Linked DNA regions of Styela clava. The protein of the gene in region 4 purifies or fractionates together with the protein of the main gene of each other region. This does not show direct contact. Links are inferred from orthologs where the notes say so. Each region holds a gene or a part of one and is shown on either strand. Other genes may lie near its edges.

The links. The genes of interacting proteins can lie anywhere in the genome.
Region 1: the proteins of histone acetyltransferase KAT2A-like (region 4) and DNA polymerase epsilon subunit 3-like purify together in Drosophila melanogaster (affinity purification with mass spectrometry; 3 studies listed by BioGRID). This does not show direct contact. The link is inferred for Styela clava from reciprocal best matches to the Drosophila melanogaster genes Gcn5 and Chrac-14.
Region 2: the proteins of histone acetyltransferase KAT2A-like (region 4) and transformation/transcription domain-associated protein-like purify together in Drosophila melanogaster (affinity purification with western blotting; 4 studies listed by BioGRID). This does not show direct contact. The link is inferred for Styela clava from reciprocal best matches to the Drosophila melanogaster genes Gcn5 and Nipped-A.
Region 3: the proteins of histone acetyltransferase KAT2A-like (region 4) and transcriptional adapter 3-like purify together in Drosophila melanogaster (affinity purification with western blotting; 3 studies listed by BioGRID, with this or other methods). This does not show direct contact. The link is inferred for Styela clava from reciprocal best matches to the Drosophila melanogaster genes Gcn5 and Ada3.

What each region holds. Positions count from the first base shown.
Region 1 is NC_135251.1:20,534,828-20,539,676, forward strand, and holds DNA polymerase epsilon subunit 3-like, read left to right. Parts: upstream 1-3,954; coding exon 3,955-4,347; downstream 4,348-4,849. Other genes in the region: renalase-like, read left to right, coding at 1,872-2,599, 3,138-3,471. UniProt on the Drosophila melanogaster protein: Accessory component of the DNA polymerase epsilon complex. Participates in DNA repair and in chromosomal DNA replication. Histone-like protein which promotes nucleosome sliding of ATP-dependent nucleosome remodeling complexes.
Region 2 is NC_135262.1:5,122,399-5,129,766, forward strand, and holds the start of transformation/transcription domain-associated protein-like, read left to right. Parts: upstream 1-4,366; 5' UTR 4,367-4,444; coding exon 4,445-4,529; intron 4,530-4,980; coding exon 4,981-5,030; intron 5,031-5,305; coding exon 5,306-5,416; intron 5,417-5,888; coding exon 5,889-5,993; intron 5,994-6,430; coding exon 6,431-6,514; intron 6,515-7,017; coding exon 7,018-7,074; intron 7,075-7,368. Other genes in the region: copine-3-like, read left to right, coding at 402-638, 1,198-1,575. UniProt on the Drosophila melanogaster protein: Part of the Tip60 chromatin-remodeling complex which is involved in DNA repair. Upon induction of DNA double-strand breaks, this complex acetylates phosphorylated H2AV in nucleosomes and exchanges it with unmodified H2AV.
Region 3 is NC_135257.1:11,363,255-11,370,713, reverse strand, and holds transcriptional adapter 3-like, read right to left. Parts: upstream 3,003-7,459; 5' UTR 2,224-3,002; coding exon 937-2,223; 3' UTR 499-936; downstream 1-498. Other genes in the region: protein RRP5 homolog, read right to left, coding at 1-341.
Region 4 is NC_135256.1:13,953,154-13,960,558, reverse strand, and holds the start of histone acetyltransferase KAT2A-like, read right to left. Parts: upstream 3,022-7,405; 5' UTR 3,010-3,021; coding exon 2,827-3,009; intron 2,214-2,826; coding exon 2,130-2,213; intron 1,803-2,129; coding exon 1,718-1,802; intron 1,342-1,717; coding exon 1,226-1,341; intron 96-1,225; coding exon 1-95. Other genes in the region: transport and Golgi organization protein 6 homolog, read right to left, coding at 3,645-6,743.

The DNA.
Region 1 (4,849 bases), on a different chromosome or scaffold from region 4:
CCAAGCAAAAGTTGAATTCCATCAATTTTTTTAAGTCTAGTGAAAGTAATTTTTTGTATTTTTTTTAAATCAAATGACATTGGAATTTTATTGAACTGCATTCCTTTCACCGAAAAAGTTGAAATTTCACCCAGGTTTTGATGGTTTTAAAAATGGCCTAAAATGTAGAAATTTTGGTATAATTGACATATTTTGTGATGATTCCTGTTTTGATTGTGTGATACAGTTATTTCATATGGTCTAAATGGACTCATTGAATTTAAGTTAATAAAGTTTAAATGGTTGCAGTGCTGTAGGACATTTCTTCACCCTTTTAACGATTTATTACCATAATTTTGAGAGATGATAGAGGCCGCTGTTCCGAAGTGGAAAAATGTCCTGTGGTGTCACATACAATATCCACATTATTGGCATGGATTTACACTGTTACATTAGGGGAATTGAGCAACACATAGAGGGGTCCTTCAGCTACTGCACCAGAAAATATTATGGGCTCCTGCTGTACCAACGCAAAAATTTACAGCACAACATAATGTACTGTTAATGCATGGTGGATTTACCGTCCTGTAGTGTCACACTATATTTTACTATATTTTTTATATCCACTAAGAATGGGTGTGTCTCTTGGGTTGAACTTTTGTTGAATTTTTTTCCATATTCAATAAAGCAACTGATTGGACAATGAAACAAAACATGTAGCTGAAAATGTAAAAATATATTGCATCTAACAACATGAAAATTTTCTGAAATTGTCCTGTAGTGTCTCTTGGAATAGCCCATTTATGTAGCCTATTGCTTCATTAAAAATCATTGCTTTTTCATTAAATATCAGTTTATTATACTAACTCTTGGTCTGATTCTTATGCTCAGCTATTTAATATGCAACTATTAAAAAAATATATGTGGACTATATATTTTGAATAATCTGCCCTTGTATGATAGTAATTATTGTCATTAGTGCCCAATTGCAGCATTCAAAAAATGGACCTTTTCCATTTACTCCCACCCTGACTAATATCCATAATTCATTTCATTTTTTGTTTGATAATGCTGCAAATTTTTAGGATTTAGTCGATTAATGGTGAATGCATTGATAAAGATGAATGGGCCCCATAAAAAAAATAGTATCCAAATATTGAGGCGCAGTTCTTACCACTTTATGGCAGCTCCTGCCACAAACGAACCGCGGCAGCTCTTGCAATGGTTTTATAGCGCTTTTCAGTAATCAGTATTAACGGTATATTCACAAATTAATGTACCAGATTTTAATTGATCATGCGGAATTATATCTACTCAAACCCTAACCCCAAATCCATCAAAACTGTATCCATAAGAAAAACGTTCCAACTCACCCAATATTTTTCACCATAAGGGACAGCCCTTTCTTTACGACCCACCTGCCGTGGTTATGGCAGCAAAATTTTACCTGCCATTGGTTTTCAATTTGCTGCCGGGGTAACGGCAACCTGTCATTGGTTTGTGGCAGCTAAAAAGTCAGTCGCCATAGGTTTGGCCGTAGCGGCCATGGTATGGAAAAACCGCCATGGTTTTGCGGAAGCTGCAGGCGCAACAAAATACTTAAAACTGCACTTGCAAATATTAGTGGGGGTGGGTTCATTTTTTTCACATATTCACATTTTTTTTTTACTTTATGTCATCTGACATTATGTTTTAAATATTAAATTATTAATATTCATCCGTCCACCAAATGACAGAATTATGTGATAGATTATTCTTCAATATACTGATATACTTGCTCTGTATATCATCACCTTTTGCCCTATGATACAACTACAAGATATACATCTGACCAACTTACAGTTACAGTAATCACCAAATTGTTTTATCAATTACAGTATACAAATATTATCATGGTTCGAGTATTAATTGTTGGGGCAGGTTTAACTGGTGCACTTTGTGCTCATATGTTACGAAGGCACCTTCCAACACAACTTCAATGTCAGATTGTTGTTTGGGAAAAATCTCGCGGAGTTGGTGGAAGAATGTCTTTGTCAAGACCATCTGAAATGGAAGACTGTTCTGCTGAACTTGGTGCCCAATATGTTGAACAGCATACCAAGTATATTGAACAACATAAATATTTTTATAATGAATTATTGGAATCTGGAATACTGAAACCCCTTGAAGGCAAAATTGATGGTTTTCGTGAAGGGATAAGTGAGAATTTTACTTGTGGTGGCGGTTTAAATATGATGGCAAAACATTTTTTTGCCAAATCTTTGGTAGAAACCTGTTTTAACGTTAGACTGGACAGTCTGAGACTTACTAGCGATGACCAAGAAGCAAGTTGGAATGTATGGGAGGCTGCAACAACCAGTGGAAAGCATGATCACTTTGATGCAGTTTTTCTGACAATGCCTATACCCCAGATTTTAGGAATTGAAGGTATTACAGACAATTTGCAGAAGCAGCAAATTTCAGATCTTGAAGGGGCAAGTTATTCCTCCAGATTTGCAGTGGGGTTGTTCTATGAACCTGGTGCTTATAATATCGATCTCCCCTATGTTGCTAAATTTGTTGTCGATAATGAAGTTATCTGTTTCATATCTGTTGATCAAAAGAAAAGAGGAATCGAAAGGTGAGAGAAAATATGATTTCTGATTGCTTTTTCATGTGCTTATGCGGTGATGGATGTTGCCAAGAGTCTGCGAGTGATACAATTGTTTCTAAATTATGGATGACATGGCTTTTATTAATAAGTCCAAAAAACATCTTGTATGGAATATTTTAGTGTTTTTGTGGTGATATTCGAGTATTGAATTTGAATTGGCCATCCCTGTTTTTATGTGCGTAAATCACTAAATCAAACTATTTTTTTCAGAGATGTAGTTAACACATAAATTTATAAAGTCGGGGCCCAGTGATGAAATCTTTTTTATAACTTGGAAATGATTTCTGGAGTATGATTGGGTCTATTTTTCTAGTGCAATATTTATTTAAAATTTGCATTTCTCCCAAGGGATGCATTTTCTTGTCTTGCTTCATAAACAAGTCTTGTTTTTCATGCTACCTTTGATTATATTCAACTATCATGTAAACTTATTTTTTATGGTGTCATCCTTTTGTGCTTCAATTTTTTGTTAATCTTTTTAATACTAGCATTTATATTTTTGAAGGAAAACTCAATCTATTGTTGTTCATACTTCTGCACCATTTGGAAAATCACATTTAGAAGAAGACGCTGAAAAAGTTGGCCCACTCATCATTGAGGAACTTAAAAAAATTATCCCTGATCTTCCAGAACCTACCTATGTCAAATATCACAAATGGAGATATTCTCAAGTCACCAAAGCAACTGAATCTTCTTATGGATGCTTGGTACCAAGAAATAAACCTTTGCTGGTATTGGCAGGAGATGGTTTTACTCACTCTAACTTTGATGGATGTGTTCAATCTGCTATAGTTGTTGAAAAGGAAATTTCGAAATGGCTTTCAAGTAGTGTACTGTAACCTATTTACAAGCAAATTTACAATTACTTAATTAAGATAAAAAGTGCATTTCTGTGCTTTTTCCTTTACATGAAAGATACGGTATTCATGTACAGACCAGTGGTTTTTTAATCGGGATTCCTCGGAAGTTGGCAGAACCCTAGTACAGCCCGGGGGTTACGCAAGTTCACATTACCTATTTGCAACTATTATTTTCTCCACTAAAGTTCATTTTGATTAACAGTATTTCGTTCGCTCTTATTATATTTATAGTTAATACAATTTAGACAATAAAAGACAGGGTTCCTCCAAGTTTAATAAAAACCACAGGCACAACCCTTTCTGGTTAGCTCTTCAAATATTTTGTGCACTTATTATGCTTTGCTGTTTCATGCTTTTATGTGACTTCACTAAAAACTTACCATATCTTTCGTTAACTTAATAATGACTGATCACAAATTTTCCCATTTTCAGGGATATAGCGCTATAAATAATTTAACAAAAATGGCTGAAAAACCAGAAGATTTGAACCTTCCTAATGCAGTCATAGCGAGAATCATGAAAGAAGCTCTTCCTGAAGGAGTGATCGTTTCAAAAGAAGCAAGAGCAGCAATATCAAAAGCAGCCAGTGTTTTTGTTCTTTATTGTACTTCTTGTGCTAATAACTCTGCAATGCAACAAAAGCGTAAAACTTTGAAAGACATTGATGTCCTATCAGCAGTTGAAGAAATGGATTTTGAAGGCTTTATACCAAGCTTAAAACAAAGTCTTGATGCATTCAAGGCCGAACAGAAGGAAAAGAAAGAAGCATCTGAAAAAAGGAAAAAATTAATAAAAGAAGCTCAATCTGTAGATGTAGAGAATGAACCCGTGACTGAAACTGTTGTTGTTGAATAATTCTTTATTATAATAGTACTCAAATTTCTGGCGCATTAAACTTGATTCCAGTTATTCTCGGAGACTTGCAGACTTGAGTGAGATCTTGTTTTAGTTTCCAGCCATGTGGTGCGCCTGCAAACTCATCAGAAAATCCCAATTCTACAACGTGAGAGTGCCTAGGAGAATAAAATTATATTCTGATTTAGTGACTGTGCATCCTGGTATCAATAACTAACAAATTAGTTTTTGTAGAATGACTCCCAATTGTAAACTACAAGTTCATTTATGTGATAAATGTACTATCTTGTTATTATACTTTGATTTTGTTTGTTTATAACAGGGATGTCCGAATCCATTTTTCAAATTAATTATATTTAGTATTTCCAGTTCTCCAAAAATTATCGTTTGGGTATTGGAAGTCCTCAAACTTTTGATGTTTAAATACTCTTTATCCTTACTATTGCGTACTTCCAAATTTTCTCCTAATGTGTTCTTCGTTGAACGTGACACAATTATGTAT
Region 2 (7,368 bases), on a different chromosome or scaffold from region 4:
TATTTATTGCTTTTGTAAGAGCAGCCGATATATAATATTGTAAAAAATTGACCAGAATACACAAATGCTTGGACTATTCGACTGACTACTGACCGCCAACCAGATTTTAAAACATTCAAATTTCGTATATCACAGAGAGTAAAGCCAATGAATAAACAGTATTGAATTTCTATTAACGCATGCATTTTATGTTTCGCAATTCAGAGCGATTTTCGTGCATTTCGCATTAGATTTCAGTTGGTTTAGTGATTGCAGTACAATAATTACAAGGCTCGTAAAATAATGTAACCAAAGTGAACAAGACTATTTCGTTATATTGACAATTGAAGAGGGGCCGTGGCCCGTGCGTTAATTTTTTGTAAAAAACTATATTTTATTTTCTTCCATTCCAATTTTAACAGGAGTATCAAGTTCTCCTTATCTTGACTGACGGTGTGGTGACAGATATGGATGAAACGAAGAAGGCTCTTGTCCGCGCTTCAAAACTTCCAATTTCAATCGTCATTGTTGGGATTGGAAATGCAGACTTCAGTGATATGGAGTTTATGAGCAAAGGAGCAAAGCATATCAAGACTCAAGAAGGAGAGTGCGCTGCAAGAGATATTACTCAGATTGTCTCATTCCGAAAGTTTAATTTTGTGAGTAGGATTTTCGTCATAAGTATCAAGTAAACTGTATACAAACATTCATCGTGATATTATATATACAAAAACTAGTCACAAACTAACATTTCATTATTGTCCTCATTTTCGCTCTTTTTAAATGCGTTGATAATAAGAAATAAAACATTCCAGTTGGGAATGTATGCATATGTCTTACATTAACTTTGTACTGAAAATGACACATCTTTCATTGTTGTATTTCTGGTGAAAATTCGCAAGTTATAAAAAGACTTTTTATCTGAATTTATCTGATAACAATGTATATAAAATAATTCTACAACTGGCAGGAATATTATTTGCGAGATATTTTTTGAAACATGCTAACTGAACCGCACATGAAAATTTCTCAATTTTTTAAACTCTATGCTGATGTTCGCAGAAATCTAATCTTTCAATTTTAATCTTGAACAGCTTTATCCTCGCTCGTCCGCTCTATAATATTTGTAGAGTTCAAGTAATACAGTATTCTCATCAGAACTTATTTCAAATCATTGGATTATATATATTATTTACGTATTTTACATTTTTGATACAGGAATCGATGGATACACTCGGTCGCAATTTGTTGCAAAAAATCCCATCGCAACTCGCCGAATACTTTGCGTCTAAGAAAATCGATCCAACGTCAGGTCATTCAAGTCCACGACGTGAAAACGGCGAAGTTAAGAAACAACCAGAAATAAACGAAACTCAAACTCCGGTTAAAAAACGACAGGCGCCAAAGGAACCGCCAAAGCAAGAGATTCCAGATCAAGAAACGCCAGAAACCCAAGAAAATCACTTGGAGATTGAAAATGGAAAACCTGAGAGTCCAAAAAGAAGTCCTCGCGTTAGCGAGAGCGATGCGAACCAAGATCAGGTTCAGGAACAAGCCGCGAAAGACAATCCAGATGTGGAAATTTCAGCGTTTTAACTGAAAATAAACGAGATTAAATCAAAATTTGGGGGCAGATGTTTCTAAAATAAACGGTTTGAATAAACGGTGTGACCGAAAATGACGGTTTGACAGTTATTATGGTCGATCATTCAATCCTTCGATTAAAAACCACAAACTCTATTTTACTGTTCCTTCACTTTTCTAAATATATTTTGAACACCCATTTTGTTTCCAACCAAGACGCAAACGAACTTGATCATAGTTTAAGACTATCAGATTCAGATTCAGATATTTTTATCTAGCTTTTTCCAAAAGAAACGGTTTAGAGAAAACGACGGTTTTCAAGCTTTCAATACGATGAATTGAAAAAAATAAATCTTTCTTTTGACCTTTCTTGTAGCCTACTTTTTTAATTATTTCTGGATACTTTTGAAGACCCATTTTGTTTTAACCATAAGGGTATCTTCTAATCGCTTTTGATCATACTATTCTTCGAAGATCTTTGGTCAAATGGATTGGAAGTCTGTAAATCTGGACCTTATGGGTTATCTTATTTACAAATAAGTTTATTACATAAATGAATATAAAACGTTGCTTTTCGTATCTTCAAATGTATAACTAAGCCATTAATTTTTCATTGCTTTTGTATAATATTCCGCTTTCTTCACATATTGTGTATTGCGAAACATAAAATGCATGCGTAAATATAAATTCGATACTGTTCATTCATTGTCGTCTATGATAAACGAATTTTCGAATATTTTGAAATATGGTTGGTGGTCAGCAGTTGTCGACTAGTCGCAAGCATTTTGCATGTTCTGGTCAAATATATATATATTACAATAATATATTTCGGCTGCTCGAACGAGAAAAATACAGAAGGATGCAATACAAATAAAATGCTGTCTAGAATGAGATTGGAACACGCGCAAATGCTCGCCCATCTACAAAAACAAAGCAAGCACATAATAGAATGAATATTATTTGAAATCAATATTGAGAAATATCAAAGCCAAAAACACTGAGTCAAGAAAGAGTTATTAAATTTGTAAATTTTACAGATTAATGTTTGTACCCAAATGCATGCTTTAATGTTAATCACACAGAAAAACATTTTATAATATTTTTACCGCAGCAGTGCAGCCATTTAACTTTCAACCCGATAAATATTACCGGACTTGAAATGGAACTATGGATCGTTCTGCTATTATGATGTTTTTGTTCGAATTTTTCTTCTTTTTACGGTATTTAATCCACCAAGCGTGACGGCTGTTTCCGAGTTGATGCGAAACCCACGCAAAACTCGGAGAATAAATAATACTCGTAACGATTGGAACTTTGTTTTGGATTTTGTGTTCATATATTTGAGCATCGCTTGCTTTCTTGTTCCATCTAGTGCCTACAGCAGGCACATTTACACTTCCAAATGGTCTCTAGGGTCCCCAAAATGATATTATTTTCAACAATGCATCTAAAATGTGTTGGATAATTTTCATGAACTGTTCTGTCATTACTACTTAAGGTGCACAGAAAAATAGCTTAAAATCTTTTAATCAGTGAATAAGTTGATGTTAGTTTCTTTCCTTATTTGTCTCTTCCAGCGATGATAAAGTCGAATGTGTCCATGCTGTATCAGGTTCAACCGTTGAAGTGTATTCACCTCAATGGGTCCAACTTGATAAAATCAGCAGTGTCGTCGTCCGAGTAGATATTTGCAGTTTTAGTTAGGTAATATTCATAAACTCAAGATGAAATCATACTAACAGACTTCAAGCTAATACCTATTTCGATTAATGCAAGGCGAGAACAATGAGGACAATCCTAATCGGATAAAACGACATATTAACACTCTCAACCTACACATAAAAGCCCTCTTGTGGCAAAAGTCGTGAATAAAACTTAGTACGATACTAAATATTGTGCAGACAGGCAAAAAACGGCGAGGTTGCTTCAATTCAGAACCCTAGCAAATCAGTTTCAGATTTTTTACGCACGTCTTCAAGTTTTTTGTCATATTTGCGCAAATAGATGTGGTAGTATATGCACAGTATTATATTGTTTCTCGATTTTTTGAATAAATAGACGAGAAGGCGCCTGGTGCCGGTAAGTATAAACCGGAATAAGACACGTAGTATAGAATTGTTGGTGTGTCTGAGTTGTGCAGATTTTTTTTCAAGTTTGCGCTAACGTAGTAAAGGCTCGTGAATACATAGATGGGTTACTTTAATTCAGTGCACACATGAAAGTAAGATGTAAAAGCCTAAAATGAGGAATATCTGACAAATGAGGAAAAACTGACTAATCCGCGCGGCGGTGTGGCTCAACGGGCTAAGCAGTAGAAATACGCTCGCCACCGCACCTCTAACTACTCTGCGTGGGTTCGCAGGTTCAAATCCCATGCAGGGATGGTTATGTGCGAGAGGATTGCTGGACTCCTCGCCGTCGTTGGGTGGTTCACGTAACCGCTGGTCAGTTACGGCTTCCTCCACCACCAAGTCCATGCTTCCGAAAACAAACAATACAGTAAAACTAATCCCATACCCGACTTGGAATGGTAACCGGACGAGAGGCCGTGGTTCGCCATATGGATAAGCCATCTTATCGGCTTTCTACTCCCCCGGGATAAATATGTAAATCCTATCCTATCCTATATTCTACTAAGACAGTAAGAGTTTTATTAAGTCTGTAAGTAGAGACAGCTGAGAAAAGCTATTTTCGATTTTCCCAGCTCCTTAAGTTACTCCCTATACCTACCTACATATTGGTTTTATAAGGTAGTGTTTTTTTCCGATTTACCAAATCACTGATTTTCACTTAATACAGATATTGACTAAATATACAATTACGGCATAAGACAGTGGGTCTGTCACTGTTGTATCATTGTATGTATATGGTTGCATGAACCATGCTTCACTCAGTGTCATCTGACATCAACCAAGAAATAAACAAATACAAGGAATATGTGTCTCTGCTCAATGATCCACTGGCTCGTAAGTAAAATTTTGATTTTTATCAGCGCATTTTCTGCTACAAGAATGTTTCTACTTCAGACTGTAATTCAAGAATTCGGCGGTGTTGCGCATCATGCTAAGACCCTCCATCTGTCCGTGAGTTTGCAGGTCGTATCCAGTGGGGGTTAATTATATTCGAGAAGATTTCTGGACACCTCGCTGCCGTAAAGTAGTTTTAATAATCGCTGGGCGGTGAGGGGTCCTCTGCCGTCAAGTCTATCCACTGGCTATCTAATCCCATACCCAACGTGGACTGGCAGCAGGATGAGATTCCGTGGTTTGCCATGTGATTAAGCCGTCTTATATGTAAATCTTAATCCCATAAGAATTGGAGATGGTCCTATTACTGTTTTTATGAATATTGTTTTGAATTTTTAGTTTTCTGTATTTTTATATTTTGTGTTTTATATGCTGTTTTCATTTCTAACAGAGGATGAAAATAAGTTGAAAGTTGCTCAAGAAGTGAGCGAACATTTCGAGGTTTGTACAATTTTTTATTGCTATGCAGTTATTTGATCGAAGTTTGGATGTTTTTTTACTCTGCTCTTATACTTACTTAAATGATATTAATATGAAATTCAGATTTTTGTTCATTCCTTTTTGAACTTTTTAAATATAAATGAAATCAGATAAATGCTTTCTGTTTTACTGTAATTGCTGAAATAATCCACTTAAATTACCACCATATTTATGCTTTTTCATTATTCATTCGGTATTCATTATTTATTATTAATTATCAATAATTAATTCTTCAGGACATTGCACATTCTCCTCAGTATCAAGTGTTTCTAAATCATTGTGTTCCAAGATTTGTCAAATTATTGCAAGATGGAGAACCAAGCTTTGTACTGGAAAATCATGGCCAGGTTAGAAAACTATAATGGTGAATTATTCATTTGGAAATAGAAATTGACCTTGTATTTATATGAGGTCAAAGGTTAGATTTTCACACTTATTACAGTTCTGAACAACAGTCTTTAATATCTCTTTTATTTCTACAATAACCTGAAAATCTTTACTGTTTTACGTTGCCTCCAATTTAACACAGGTGGAGCTGGGAGCTGTAATTAACTATTTTTTTAATTTCCGATGCCAACAAAGTTGAGTTTTGGATCTAATTAGTTAAAAATGTGACACCTAGTATACATATAACAGCACCAAAATATTTCTAAGAGATTATCGAAATATTTTACTTAAAACAACTTGCTTTTCAAATCTATCTCTGAGATTTCAATCTTGCCCACTTCTACATTTAATAATTATCAAAATTGCGAACCTATTTTATATCGGGCTATCATTATTACAATGGATATTTTATTTAACGTTCTTTTTTTACAGCAACTTCGCAAACTTGTTCTTGACATTCTACATCGGATTCCAACAAATGATTATTTGAAACCTCATGTTAAAATGATTCTCAATTTATGCTTCCAACTACTTGAGGTAATGTACAAGTAATTCATACTTAACTCAAGTAAATTGACTTAACTTGCCTAAAAATCAAAAATTATATTTGAAGTGTTATGTACCAATATGGACGGTACGGTAACGTAAAGGGACTGAACATATTGGCAGGGAAAGACTCACTTGGCTAACACAGACAGGTCCTGAACTCGTACTAAAACTAAAATAAGGAAAATCGGAAAAAAATTATGGCCTAACCCTAACCTGATACACACACTACGAAGTAACCATTGTAATGCTTTGTGTGTTTGCTTAAAAAAAGATGGAAAAGATGTCGTACATTAAAATAATTGTTTTTTATACGATACTTATTCACATATTTTGCTTGGAACAAGGTCATGTATAATCAGCCACTGATATTCAATTTTCAGCCATATTGAGAATTTAAATATTAAAAATTGTCTTTTGCAATCCAGGTTGACAATGAAGAAAATGTTCAAGTTTGTTTAAAAATATTGATTGAGCTCCATAAACAATTCAGACCACAAATGGCACCAGAGGTAAAAGTTTTAGCTGTATTTTGATATTTCGCTAATTTTCATTTTACTAATCCTAATACTCTTTTGTTAGTCTCGTCCATTTTCAAGATATGTGTGATTTTGGGAATACTGGCCAAAGTTTTTGAGGTTATTTTGTACAAGTTGCATTCAAACACTCAACAAGACTCTACTCAAGTAATCGCTAATGGATGAACTTTGCGAAAGGGGTCTAATTTTTTGTTTCTGCACAACCTACCCAATGTTCTGACAACCCAAGCTGGAATGATAGACATGGAATTTGAACCTGATGTCTCTAATTGCAATAATAACATAATCAAGTGTATTAAATCAACATGCCTGCTATAATATATCCACTTCTAATTCTAAGCTGACTGTGGGATGAAAAGTAGTCTTGACTGTCTTAAGTTTGTGCATTTGTTATATAGATATTGTGTTTGCTTGTTTGGAACTTTGGATTAGGCATGGATATAAATTGTTTGTTAATTTTTATTATATTGTTTCAGATCCAACATTTTCTTGCTCTTGTGAAGAGAATCTATTCAGAACTACCAAGAAATATGGTAAAGTATTGAATATAAAGTTGAGGGATATACATGAAAAGCATTGGCACTTTTAATTGGGCGTAAATATGTGATAGGAATTTCTGTGCCTTCTTTTGAATACATGTTTTTCACCATAAATCTCAGATCCTACAAGAAGATTGCTGAATATCATTTTTTAATACATTGCTTTCATTACACCTTTCACTCTTAAACAAGGCTATGTACTAGAAGCCACTGATATCAATTAATCTGTAAAAAGCTTCCATTTTTGATATGATCAGAATCTTTTCAGCATTGCCCAATTTATTACAT
Region 3 (7,459 bases), on a different chromosome or scaffold from region 4:
GTATTACAATGAGGTATACCAACAACAAGTTGCAGTTCCTGTATCTCACGAATACACCCCAACAGCAGTGTTCCCTCTTGTACTCTTTTGCAATGCAAAAAATCCACATTTATTTCATCCATCCCTTGTAACAATCCATCCACATCTTTAATACCATGACTTTTGATTATTTCATCTTTTTCTTTTGGTTTTTTCTTTTCTTTTGTAAAATGCCCACCCGTAGATGACTTGCTTCCTTCTGAAAACAGAGAATCAACTGCGGCTTGGCGTTTGGCACCCTTCTTCTTAAAAGTCGATGGTTCACGCTTTGCTTTTCCTCTCGGAAATAATATTTCGTCCATAGTCGAAAAATTAGAGTTACGAATGTAATTTAACTTTTACCAAAATTTCTGCTGTATAAAAAAGATAAACGAATAAACATTAGGAAAGAAAAAAAGGTTTCTGTTTTACCAAAAAAAGTCAATTTTTCTCAAAATTCCAACAATGTGTAATTTGCAAAGATAGAGAAACAACAGTAATAGAAAATAATACATACTCACATCACATAATATCATATTAATGAGTTCTCATGTCTTTTCAAATTAGGGTTTTAAACTACAACTCGTAAGTTGTGATACAAGATATTGCAGGAACAATTGACAAACCAAATTACTCAGCATCTATTCAAAATGACCATGGTATGTTTAGTTTTGATAAACAAAATGCATATAAGATTACTCAAAAAATTTACCATTGTCAGGGAAATGTCATGATTGTTTAAAATATGAAACACGTTATTGTAAAAATAGACCATTTAGATTAATTGAATTCTAATTACCGGTATTGATATTTCAACATCCCCATACACGATAGAGGTTGTGTGCATGGGTATGTTTACCACGAGTCCAATTAGATTCAAACCAAACTTATAATCTGTAACTGTGCGTTGAATATAAATCAGTTCAATTGTTCTAACTGTTTGACCAAACTTTCTCGTTCTTTTATAGCTTTCAATGCACTTTCTTTTTCCTTTTTCATCAAATTTCTTTTTTTCTGTCGAGCAGCAAAAACCTTTCTGTAATGTTCAGTAACTTCAATGTTTGTTATTTCAATATTTTTTCTCAATTCTTGTTTTTTCATATCATCTCTGGAAAGTTTCAAAAGTTGTGAAACAATTGTCCTATTTCTATCACCTATTGCCCTCAATTCTTGTTGACATCGTTTCAGTTCCAAAAGAACTTCATCTTCATCTTTATCATTTTCAGAAAAATGATCAATAAGACCTTGTTCATATAGTTCAGCCTTTATTCGGGCCTCCAGTTTTGTGGTATGGGGAGAACTAGATGCCTTGCCATTTTTGGAAGCAACATTTTGGTCATTGTTCGTAAGAGCTTCAAATGCTTTTCCATCATTGGCAAGACCAGAATCCAGTGGCGCTATTATATTTTCTTGCACGAAAGCAGAAACCAATCGCTGGGTAAGTGACCCATATGGGCATGGTTCTGCATCATTCAAATTTTCTGCTGTTTTTTTCATTATCCTCTGAATAGATGACTCAGTATTACTATTATTTTTTCCAATTCTACCCCCTTCTTTTTCCTCCATTGCCAAATCTTCTTCTGCCCAAACTTGACTGAAATGTTTGCCAAGAGGGGGAATTTCAAAATATTCCTCAGAAATTGGTTTTTCCATTTTCTCTAAAAGCGAAATTGTTTCTTGTGGTATGGGCCCACAGTATGTATCAACCATTTGCCAAAACTTATTAGGAACTTCAGCATTCCTTTGTAAAACGGGTAATTCGTCATTTGTTTCTGTTTCAATGCGAGAGCCTTTTGCCTTCGACCTGCCAGCACCACTTGGTGATGACGTTGAACTATTCAAATGAAATAAGGGTTTTATAGCATGAATATGAGATGATGAGTCTGATGTTTTCATCTTTTTGACTGGACGATCTTCAACTATTCGAGAGCGCTTATGCTCAGTATCTTTGCCTCTGGAAACTTTTTTGTCTTTTTTATTGTCTTGTAGGTCTGACAATATGCCAATCTCCGAGTTCAATTGTCTCATCCTTTGTGATGCAGCGGCAAGTAGTTGTTCCAACTCCATTTGTAAAGAATCTAATTCATCCAATGATACTCCATCATCTTTATGCCGATTAACGATATTTGTGTATCTTGGACAATTTTTAGCATGATCCACAGGCTTCACATCAGGAAATTGTAAGAAACAATCTTTCAAGTCCATTGCAATAATGTTACTGTATTATACAAATGCCAATACTATATCAAAAGTATGGTTTGTTAATTAGAGATAAGGTTAGAACTATTAAATATGCACCATTTTATTTAGGATGCATGATTGCCAATCAATGAATAGTAAAAATTAAGGTTGCAATACACCTTGTTTTACTGGACATGTTCTGATTTTCGCCATTCAATTTATTGTGAAATTGAATGTATGTAGGACACAGTGCTTAAATTCCAAGATGTTCCGACATTTGATTCAATAAAAATAACAATATATGTATCTGAATGAGGGTGTTTGACACTACGGCAGGCAGATCACGTCATGCTTGTCTCAATGATAATTTAAATCAATAGCAACGTGCGTGATATTCTGATAAAATTTATTTCCTTTGATAAATCGAACTATTTTTTTCCGGGGTGTCCAATGATGATGTTTTGAGGATTGCACTTCTTTTTAGTTTATTGTGCGGTGCCGGTGTGCTCTTTTGTGCCGATATGAAGGCCCAGATTGTCTCATAAAAGAGGGGGTTGCATTCACTGTTATAATTGATGTCTCTTAATGTGGGGGCTATTCTTGGAATCAGAGAACTGTGCCGTACTGAACGTGTATGAAATAAAAACAATATCTGAGATTTTCTCAGGTCACTTAAAACGTATGAAATATTGCAGAGTCGATTCACTAACAGTATTTCATTGTGACTGTGAATTTGGATATTTTAGAATTCAACCTTTTTCATATAAAATGTCATTTTTGCAACTTGAAATTGTTAGTCAGTAATTTCTGCGCTTTCCAGAGTACAATTTAGACAAATTAGGAATGTCAAGGCCAGGGATTGATAGAGAGCCCTGGCAGTCTTTATTTTATGTGTCTGTATTGAGTTGTCTACTTATGTTGGTGACATCAACAAAGGGTAGGTAGGCTACATCTCTTTTCTCGGTGACTACATGAATTCAGTAGGGCACATATTTCTGATTCCAAGATATCCCGATATTTGGTTCAATAAAATAAAAACCTTATTTATCTCTGAAACGTGGACGTCTGGCACGATGGCAGATCGTGCCCTGCTTGTCTCGAAAATAATCTAAATCAATCGCGGCCATCACATATTCGAAATTGAGTTTTTTGCTAAGACACTTGAACGTTACGCGCACGCTTAAACGATATAATATTTTTTTTTTATTCTGTAATTCGGTTTATTTTTTTTCCAATGGATCCGATGGTGGCGTCTTTAGATCACACTTTCTTTTAGTTTATTGCGCTGTGAATTTTGCCGATATGGAGGCACAGACTGTCCCGTAAAGGAGGGGTTTGCACTCACTGTCATAAGTGATGTATTTTAATGTGAAATCTATTTTTGGAATTGGAGACCTGTGGAATTGCAAAGACTTTATGTTCTCTAGTGCCAGCCTCCATCTACTTTTTGTATGGGCCTCTTTTGTGACTAATCTCAGAATTCAGGCATGTCTGTCAGTAGACACACATTTCTGCATTTACCTACCGGTACCTGTAACAGTAATATGGCTCTATGACGAGATTTTACATTGGCGTAGTAAGGTGGGGTCTAGGATAGGATTTACATATCTTTATCCATATGGCGAACCACAACCTCTCGTCCGGTTACCATTTCCATGTCAGTTAGGGATTAGTGATTTGTTTTTCGGAAGCATGAACTTGGAGGAAGCCGTAACCGACCAGCAGTTACGTGAACCACCCTACGGCGGCGATAGATAATGATTTATTTCCGATACAAGTACATAATACAGTAAGCATAGCAAACAACAATAGGCATAAAAATATATACGGACGAGGATGGACAAGAATTCAAAGGTCAACCGACCCCTAAGGAGAGATTCTACCAGGACAGGACACTCTAAAGCAGGCATCATAATTACAATAAGAGGATAATAAATTTTTGAGTTTTAAGCCCGTTTAGGAGGCCTCAGAAATCAATTCCCCAAAAGTACAGAAATAAGAACAAAAATTACAAGGAACAAGAAACGGGAACATCACATAATTTCGCAGATCATAATGTTTTTTAATAGGAATAAAAAATGTGAAAAAAAAGAGAAAGAATAAGAAGGGCGTAGGGCCAATTATAATTTCCTCAAATTTAATTTTACTTTATGTTAGACAAGAATCAAATCGTGACAATGAGGCAATTTCTGAATGGGTGAAAAATTTAAAATACCATATTTCCAAAGCTATATAGTACATATAAACACTTCAGACTATTTATAACAGCATCTTCAATAATTTTCACCGAGGCATACGAAAATCCATCTATAAAAATGGTGAATTCCTATCCATTTTGTGAATCTGATAGCATACACGGAGATTTGGACGATATTGCATCATACTGTCATATTATAATCGGCCAAGGCGCCAATAAACGCTGTTTTAATTTGCATATAGGGTGGTGGTGGTATCAATCAAAGAATAAAAATTACAAATGAAAAAAAGAACATCGCATGATTGTGCAGGAGGAGTCCAGCAATCCTCACACACCTAATCATACCTGCGAACCTGCCAACCCACGCAAAGTAATCAGAGGTGTGATGGTGAGCGTATTCCTAACACTTAGCACGATGAGCCACACCGCCGCGCGCGCCTAGGAATAACATATGCGAAAATGGTTAGACCACGCTCACCCCGTACAGTCTGACAGTACGGTACCGGTACCGGTACCTATCACTGTACTGTACAGCTGTACCATGTACCGGGACTGTACACCGTCTGACTGGTACCCCCGTACCCCCGTACGGTACCGGTACCGGTACTAAACAATCATTCGCCAAAATAATTAGTTTCATTGAATTCAATAAATTAATGATACCGGTACGATTCCGTACAGCACAGTCGTGCTGCACCTGGCGAGAGCCTAGTAGTGACATACCGGTACCGGTACTGCTTAAATTACTTAAACTGTCAAAGACAATTACCACAAAACCAGGCTGCCTGCAACTAGCGAACTATCAATCCTTGTTGGGGGTGGGCGGTGTGGAGCATCGTGCGCCCGAGCAGTTCTTACCACTTCATGGCGGTTTCTGCCACGAACGAACCGCGGCGTCTCATGCCATGGTTTTATGGCGCCATGGACCTTTCCCCGAGTATCGACTTTCTTGTTTACTTCGTGACATTGGCCAATCAGCAAGTTGCAAAAAGTGACGTAACAATGCCCCCTTATACTTATATACTTATACTTTTCGCATCCGCCCAGACATTTTTCTTACTCAGACAGATTTTCAAGCGTGGTTGTAAACATTACCTCGTTTTCGCGTTTTTAAACTCTATTCGTGAGTTTTTAGTTGTGTTTCGGAAACTTGAATATAAATCAGATAATTCAATGATCACTCTGTCTTCCCAGGAGTTTTAATTTAATTGCAGTAATAAAAATTAGTGTAGAAATAGCTGTAATAGACTAGCTTGAAATCCTTTACCGGTACTTTAAAAAAACAGATTGTTGTATGCGATGAATTATAATGATGATTAGAAACACATACCCCATTTTACAGGCACCAACTCGCAAAAGCACTCTTAAAATAGCCCCAAAAATTTTGCAATGGTAAAGTATAGGAAGAATTTCCGGGGGTCAGAGGTCGGGGAAAGGTCCATTACCGCTATATTCACAAAGTCATGTACCATATACAAGTTTATCATGGGGAATTATATCTACCTAAACATGAAACCTAATCCCAAATCTAGCACGGGCGATTTATCATTTGTCTGGATCGGTACGTTACGGCTGTACGGTATGGGGCAGGCGCAGAGAGTGTTTCAGTAGACTATATTCTACGAGACTATCCGTATCTCCCATTCTTTCATGAGTGATTGCATGGGTACCGGTACGGTCAGACGGTACCGTACCGGCATCGCACGAGTGTCCAGACAACTACGCAGTTAAGCAGCATTTTCCAATTAAATTACCTTCTACACGTGAAAACAAATTTTCGTATCCAATTCTATATTCTCTTATCATTATTATAAATATATTGCTTGTGGTTGAACTTGTAGTATGGAGAATTTATAGAACATTTTCATGTTGAATTTATTGGATATTGCTCATGAAAATCAGTAGTGAGTTAGAAACCAAGGAAACACATTTGTGCGTGTAGGATTAAGCCTGACAACGTTGGTCCCAAGCAGCATCAAATTTTTCAAAAATAAAAACGCGTCACAACGATGGGCCACGAGGCGGACCATCGTTGTCAACCTTTTTATTTTCTTTTTATTCAATTTTTTTTTTTTAATTTCAATTTTTTTTGTTTTTTTTTTCAATTTTTTTTTTTTAATTTCAATTTTTTTTTATTTCTTTTTTTCAATTATTTTTATGTTTTTTCACATCTATTTTTTTATTTTCGCTTTTTCATTTTATTTTATCATTTTTTTTTTTCAAATTTTACACGTGACAACGATGGGCCACCATACAGTACCGATACGATATGAATCAGTTCGCATCAGACAAATTGACTATAGTCACTTTGGCATCAGATCATGCTGGTCTGCGTGAAGTTTATCATGGAAAACTGATCGAAGCTGAGGATAACGTGAACAGTCGAACGTCAGATGTAACGGATATTTGATGATAGATTCCATAAAAAATACTGTTTACACTTACACAGTATAAGTTCACAAAGCACAGGGATTTTGATGAAAACTAAATTTGGAATGCCAGGACGTGGAATGCTTTTGTTGCATTTCACTTCATTCGTTGTTGTTAACTTTTCACGCTGCTTTTATTATTGTCGTTATCGTCCAATAGGCTATTAGTTGAGTACATTCAGAATCACATCAATTATCACATATTGGTTAAAAATGAGAAATTCGCATCCCCGTCGGAAACAGTCGCCGCGATTACGAGCTCGTTTAAAGAGCGGCCTTCTCAGCGTAAAATGATTTTTCTGTCGCGTAAAATACTTAATCCATTACAACTACAAGAACCTAAAATGTGCTTATATATTAATTTAATTCAGCCCAACATAACTCGCGGTTGCGTCTTCTTCTGTCAAAATAAAAACAGTAGAGGGAAAGTGGGGAAGGTTGGGACACTTTTTTTCTTTTGCATATTTTGAGCCGTTAATTCTGCATATTCTCTTAAGTTTGCGGGACTAATGCATAGAGGGGTAAATGTAGTTTTTATTCAGCAACAAAGAAATTCCCTTGCGACACACATCTTACTACCAAAATGCTTTGAAAAACGTCAAGTGTCCCACTGTACCCCACTTGTGGGGCACAA
Region 4 (7,405 bases):
ATTCCTTTGAATATACTGGGTTGGTTGAATGGTGGTGAACCAAGAGGTCCCTCTATCACTGGTTTACTTGACTGAATGATGCATTTTCTTAACAACTGAAACAAAATAATCAAAAATAATAAGCTGAGTATCCAACAGTTAAATAATTACTTAATTAGCATGTGATGACCGATGACTAGCAGTTAAAGCGGTAAACTTAAAATCGGTATGGCCGTCGCCAACTTGTGTTCAAATCTCACACCCATTAGAGCAGCGATTCCCAAACTATGGGTTGCGACCCACTGGTGGGTCACAAACGGAATCTTAGTGGGTCGTGAAAAGATGTAGAAAGCATTGGTTAATTATGCTGGTTATTAGGATCGGTGGCGACTCGAATACGCAAATCTTTAAAAAAGCAAAAGAAATTAAATTGAATTTAAATTCTAATCTGTGAAAGTTTCTTTTTTACGATCTTCTCAAAAGAACAAAAATTTGCTACACAAAGAATGACCATGTGGCTTTTTTTTTGCATAGCAGTTTTGTACACTGCACAGCACTTCTTACCGTGTTTCCCCGAAATTTAGACAGAATTTAGATTTATTTTCTTTTGAAGGATAACACTACGGTTTTTTTGGGGAAAGGGTCTTTTGTGTTCATTTATTGAAAAAAAAATTATATTGTAGAAAATCACAAGATGTTTTACTAAACATTATATAAAAACCGACATCCATTGTTTTTATTTGTATTTGCTATACAAAAATCAAGTGACAAATATCATAATTGTGATATTACACAATCTTGAATAGTGGTGTGATTTTCACCTTACCTCAGGCCAATGAACCTTTCTTCTCCCCACAAATTAAAAATTATTTTAAGGGTAGGGTTTAAATAAAATCATTTTGAAAATTTAAATTATTATCTTATTTTCAGGCCAGGTCTTATTTTTGAGGAAACACAGTAGTTTTGCGGTGATTAGCCATTGCTGTGTTTGTGTTACATCATAAAAAAACAAAAAAAAACTGAATTAGAGTTAAGTGGGTCGCCATAAGCTGTGGTAATAAATAGTGGGTCCCATCCCAACTCCAAAAAGTTTGGGAACCACTGCATTAGAGTGTATTAGGGCTTAGGCGACATTCAACCACATAGATCCTTCCAAAAATATCTCTCCTTAAATATTGATATATATAATATGCCGCCACTTGGTGGTTGTACAGAATAATCAGTAGAAAAACATTGCGATTCTCACTCTGAATAAATAGAAATAAACTTGTTTGGAATCACCATCTTCTTCCTTCTGAACACATTGAAAAAGATTTTCAACATCAACAACCATTCCTAATAATCTGTTGATTTCATCTTCTCCTGAAAAAGTATTAAAACAAAAATTTCATTGAATATTGTATTGCCTAGTTGCAATCTTCTTCAATGAATCAATGTGGACATAAATATGAGTAGGACTATACTAAATTCTATCATATTGTAATCATTTAATGAGCAAAATCTATCATTTAATTAAATCAAAAATGAAAATTTGAAGATAGCAGAGATATTTAAAAGCTTATAATTTATTTCTACACCTAACCAACGAGATAATGTTTAAAATCAATTCAAAGTTCACAAAACTAAAATTTTCGACGGAAGAGAAGTAAATTATCCGTAGGCCTACATATCATGATTTTGATCCCTAAATGCATAACAAAATAAACACATGACATAAACTGTTAAGAATGATGCATACCACTCATTTCCAAATGGGAAACATGATTCTGCAGAGCATGTGTACAACTCCTGCATTTGCTTTCTAACGTCACTGTGCTTTGAACCTGAAAAACGAATAAACAAATCAGTAATGGCATCAAAAACAAGTATTTTTCACAAACACTGCAAAAACTTGGAGGTTGCAAATTGCAGATTGAGTAGTAATCACCCGCCATTCCGATCTTCATCCAGAATAAGTATCCTTTTCATCAATCTTATTTCTTTAATTATCACACCATAGAATCAATATGAAAATCCATTCCAATGTAATATATTATCAATAGTCCACCAATATTTTGTGAAAAGTTGGAAGATTTGGTCTAGTTGAAAATAATTGCCCAACAGAAATAAGGGATTATGCTAATAATTTTGAAACCAACCTACCACCTTACCTGTTGTGATGAAGATGCATCAGGTTGAGCTGTTGCTAATTGATTGTAAGGATTTTTCCAACCGTTGCATTTACATCCTTCATCCTGAAAAGTCAGAACAAAATAAATGAAGCAATTAAAATAATTTGACATATGATGAGGATCGCTAGGCAATGGCACAATATAACCCGAGAATCGGATTTTCAAAGCTGTAGTTTATCACAATGAACCTTAGTCATTTTTGAACCTATCCCATGTGAAAAAACACAAAGAGGCATGAACCAATTTTTTTATCGTTGGGTCTTGAGAGAATGTGGTCACAAAGATGGGAAGACTTTTTGTATTATGCCACAGCATAGGCGTTGGTACAATTGTCTGATGGAATCCGAACTAACTGTGTCTGTATAAAAAGTATACATGTAGCCTATTATATTCTCCATAATGAGAGTTTCAGTATAGAAATTTCATATTTATACTGAGGGTAGGAAAGCCAACAACTGAATCAAATTGCAAGCCACGGCCTCTTGTCTGGTTACCAGTCCATGCCGGGGGCTACCTATGACAATGAGTAGTCAAGTGATCCTCTCAGTCTCTCACACATAATTCTTATAATTTTTACCAACCTATAGTAAGATGGATGGGATGTACCAGACTTTAAAAGGAAAGGTTGAATGAACATCATTTAAAAAAAAATTGATCAGCACTGATGTATACTAACCTTACATGATGAGTAAACACCAATTTTCTCAAGTTTCTTAACCCGTGGATAACCTCGAACTTGTGCCTTACGTTGTTGGATTTTTGCAAGGTTGGCAGATCGAGCTAGTTCACTTGGGACGAACGACTGCCGAGAAGATTTCTTTTGTGACGTCTCAGCTTTCACATTAGTTGAATTATCCATGTATGTTGGCTATATCAGTATTCTACAAATAGGTGGAAACATAAAATGTAAGAAATGGAAAGTTAAGGAAACGTGTCATCTATCATCAAAGGCATCAGGATCAGGACATTTACAAAAATTGTAAAAAATAAACAAATAATTGCACATTAAAAATCATTTTCATGTAAGAACATGGCTGATCAGTAAAAAATACTTATGCAGACTAAGATATTTGTCTTATTTGCAGAACAATGCAGCAATGTAGATTTGGAGTTGGATGTTTTTGGCATTGGAATTGGATCAGTGTTAAAACTTCTCGGAACCGCAGACAAGGTCGAAATATCAAATTTTTTGGTTTTGAAGTTGACCTTCCAGAATCAAAATAGTGATAAACAAAATCGAAATTTTAGACAGAAATTCATAAAGCATAAATCCGCATTGTAAACACGTAATTCATAAGTCTTGCCAAAACCCAAATTTTCGTACCAAAATTTAGTTTCATCAGAGTTCGAAACTGGAGTCTTCAGGTAACATTTTTGTTAAGTAGGTGTCAAGAGCCAATATTTAAATGAATAAGAGTTTGGAATCAGGTGTACGGTTTCCCAGAATCCGAGTCCTGATAGGCTAAGTATAACGATACAAACAAAAATTTTATGTTATATTGGCAACACTGTAATTTTCTTTGATAAAGTTTGCTTCTTAAAAATGGTTTCACGCATTATGTTATCTAGTTCTTCCAAAGCAAGCTGAGCATGTAGTTGTACCGCAGTATCCTCATCTCTTTCATATAAAAACTTCAATGTTCGATACATTTGTTTTGTAACATTAGAAAATATCTGTATAAAATTGCTACCAAGTTTAGTTATAAGATTACGAATAGCATGCACAGCTGCTCTACGAACCATAGGATCAGGATCCGATTTTGCAGTACTGCTGAGACACTCATTTATTTCTTGTTGTATTTGAGATAAATAATATGGTGCCATAGGTGCAAGTTCAGAAAAATTTGATAAACAACTTGCTCTCATGTCAGGATTAACATGTCTAGAACCTTTCAGAAACTCTGGTAATAGTATAGAAGCGTGATACGGTCCCATATCACCCATATGCCGAATTATTCTCATTATAATTTCACCCACTTTCATTTTTGCATCAATGGTATTATTTGAATTATTTTTTTGGGTTTTGGTTTCAGAATCTCTCATAAATATATTGATTAACTTTTTTAGGAGAGACTCTGAAGCAATATTGCTTACAGACAAAGACCCGATTACTGCTAAAGCTTGTACAGCAGATAAATAAACAAATGAATCCTGGTTGTCCAAGCATTCTACAAAAATTTCAACCAGTTTGTCCAATTTTTTAAAAGCAATTGGCAGTTTTCTTTCAATGCATTTAGTCAAATAACGAATTGAACCTCCTTTTATGGCAGGACTGGGGTCAAATACTTCATCTAATGATTGAGAAAATGATAGATTGAAATCTTCTTCATTAGCGATAGAATCAGTCACTGAAGTGGAATGAGTCTCTTTACTACTATTCTTAATGGTATCTTCACTACTTGAAGACTGATCCCTGCCAGAAGAATTCAAAACAGTATCCCGATCTGTATCAACAAGCAATGGTGCTGCTTGCGATGGCAATGTAGTTTCTTCATTACATTTTGGTTGGGTTTCTTTACTCAAATCCATATTTTCAAACTTTTTCATTTGTTCTTTCATTAATACTGAGAATGCATCCATTGAAGTTTCATTTACAGCGCCATACGTTGATATTGCAATTGTAAGATCCGACAACAAATCTCTTGTATGTTTATCCAAATTATTATTACCGCATATTTTTTGCAACAATGGAACCACAGACAACAGTTCACTCTTTTCTTCAGAGGTCATATCGCTCATTAGACATATTCCCAATACACTGGCACAAGTTCCTAACATTTCGAGTGAATTATTATCCAGACTTTGCAACATTGTTTTGATAAAGCTAATTATTTGAGAAACATCAGAAAGTAAAGTGTTCGGATTGTATGTCTCACACATTGTCGTTAATAAACCGAAAGTAATAAATCGAGTCTCGTTATTTTTCAAAGCTTGAACAGCTCGATCTTCAGGTGTCATTATAATTTTGTCCTCATTAATTTCATTTGGAAAATTTTTCGATGGATCGCAAATAATTTTTAAAAGTGAAATAAACACAACACCAATAAATCCGCTATTATCCATATTCGATAAAATGTCTAGCAATACATTTACTTTAATATCTTGATGTTGTAAGACTTCTGAAGGTTCAAAAAATTTGTTGTTAGCTATTGGACAAACGTTTCCATTTGCATCCACTTCAAACTTCAGATTAATCAATGGAGTTTTAATCCCAAGTTCTGTGCTTTTAATTTGCCCGTACATTGAAAAAAACATTTCCTCTGCTTTCAAGTCATCTGAACATTTTAAGGATTTACATAAAAGTTCTTTAGTCAATAAGTTTAGATGAGAAGAAGTTTCATTTGTATCACAAATCAACTGAAAGAATATTTTCAAATAGGGTTTGATGAGTGCAGAAAGTGCTACATCAGGAACAATTCCGATGGAAATACAAATATCATGTAAGTTTTCAATGCAGTCATTTATTTCTTCAGAAGAAACATTTTCATGGAACATTTTTTCTTTTCCGATTGTAAAACAGCATTCCGACAAAGGTTTACATATGATACTTTCCAATATATCCGATTCTGAATGATATTTTTCGTAAAGAGCATGCAGAGTAGTAACAGCTACTTTTCTGACAACATGCATAGCTTCAGAATTGTCTTTTCGCGAATCAGAAATCAACTCAATCGCTTGATGGCCAATCGAAATACAATATTTTTTAGCAGGAATACCCTTCGAAGGAAGGGTAGAAATAATTGAAGAAAGTGCAACTATATGCTCCCATCCAGCAGTTTTGAAATCAGAATCGCGCGAGTTTTCGACAACTGCAGAAATAATAGCTTTCATGCCCTCTTTTTCCAGCAATGTTCTTGATAATATTGATCCACATTTCTCTCGCAACCATTTTGGCGAAAGTCTTGTTTCTGGGTTTCCTTGTAGTACAAAAATCTCTTGTATAAGACGGCTTTTTGAAATCCATGATTCTATTATTTCATTAAGAACTTGTAAACATCTTTTTCGATCTTTCATGTCTATTAATCTGGCGGAATTTGGAGAAAAACATAATTGCATATAAGATGCAATAATCTCAGGTAATAAATTCTTGGTGACTATGTTTCTGATTTCAATGGCTTTGCAAATAACATGGATAAATAAGGAATTCTCAAGAAGCATTCCATATTTTTGTCTTGGGGTAAATTCAGTATAGAAATGTGAAATTTTTGAAATCATAATTCCTTGTATACTTGGTTCAAGATGAGATACAATGCCAAATTTGAACACAAATTGCAATAGGCAAGACACATGATCCACATCTGCGACTGATAAATATGGTCCTTCAGAAAGATTACCAATATTCTCAAGTTCCTTACCAAGTTTTAAAAGCAGAATTTGTATACACTGTATAAACTTTTGTAGCACAAAATATACTGATATTTTTGCCTGAGATTCAGAAAGTTCTACACTGTCAAACTGTATTTCGCTCTCTTTCAACAAATTGATAACAGTTTGATACATTCCTTCCAGGGTATGTACATCACCACTTGAAACTTCATGTTTCAATCTGATAACATCAGTGACATTTGCAATCACAGCCTTGATATCATCCATTTCTCAAATTAGGCAAAATAGATAGAGTTGAACTGCTGGACAAAAGAGGAATTGAATTAAGTCAGATAATTTCATATTTTATATGCAGGTGAAGACAGTTCAGAGACAGAGCATTAGTAACCACTCTACTAACTTTATGAGATTTTCACAGCTATATTAACCAACGGCTGAAATTCTCTGTTGAAAATAATATTCGATCTATAATTGTCATGCAGCCGACTTTGAGTTAGGTTGGATGTGCTAAAACTAAACTTTCGGGTCATGAGGTGGCATAAGACAGTTCGAGTTAGGAGTTTGATTCCCATTGCAGCCTTGGGAGTTGTTTAAACAAAATAATAAATAGATATACAAATACATCTGTAGGCTACATGTAAATTTCAGAATTTATGGGACATTTGGGCATAAGTTATTCATCACAATTCTGCAATTAGACAGTAGATATATATATACTGGCCATACTATGCCCAAAAATTCCACATGTCAGCATTTATTTGTGTATTATTCGGTTAATATTTCTGAATAGACTAATCTTCAAGGGACTGAAAATCCAACTCATAATAACGTCTCTTCACCTTGGGTACGGAAATTCTGTGGGCCCTTAGTGGGTGGGCACAAAGGTCAGTAGATTATATCACTAAAACTGGCCATGCATTTTCAGACCA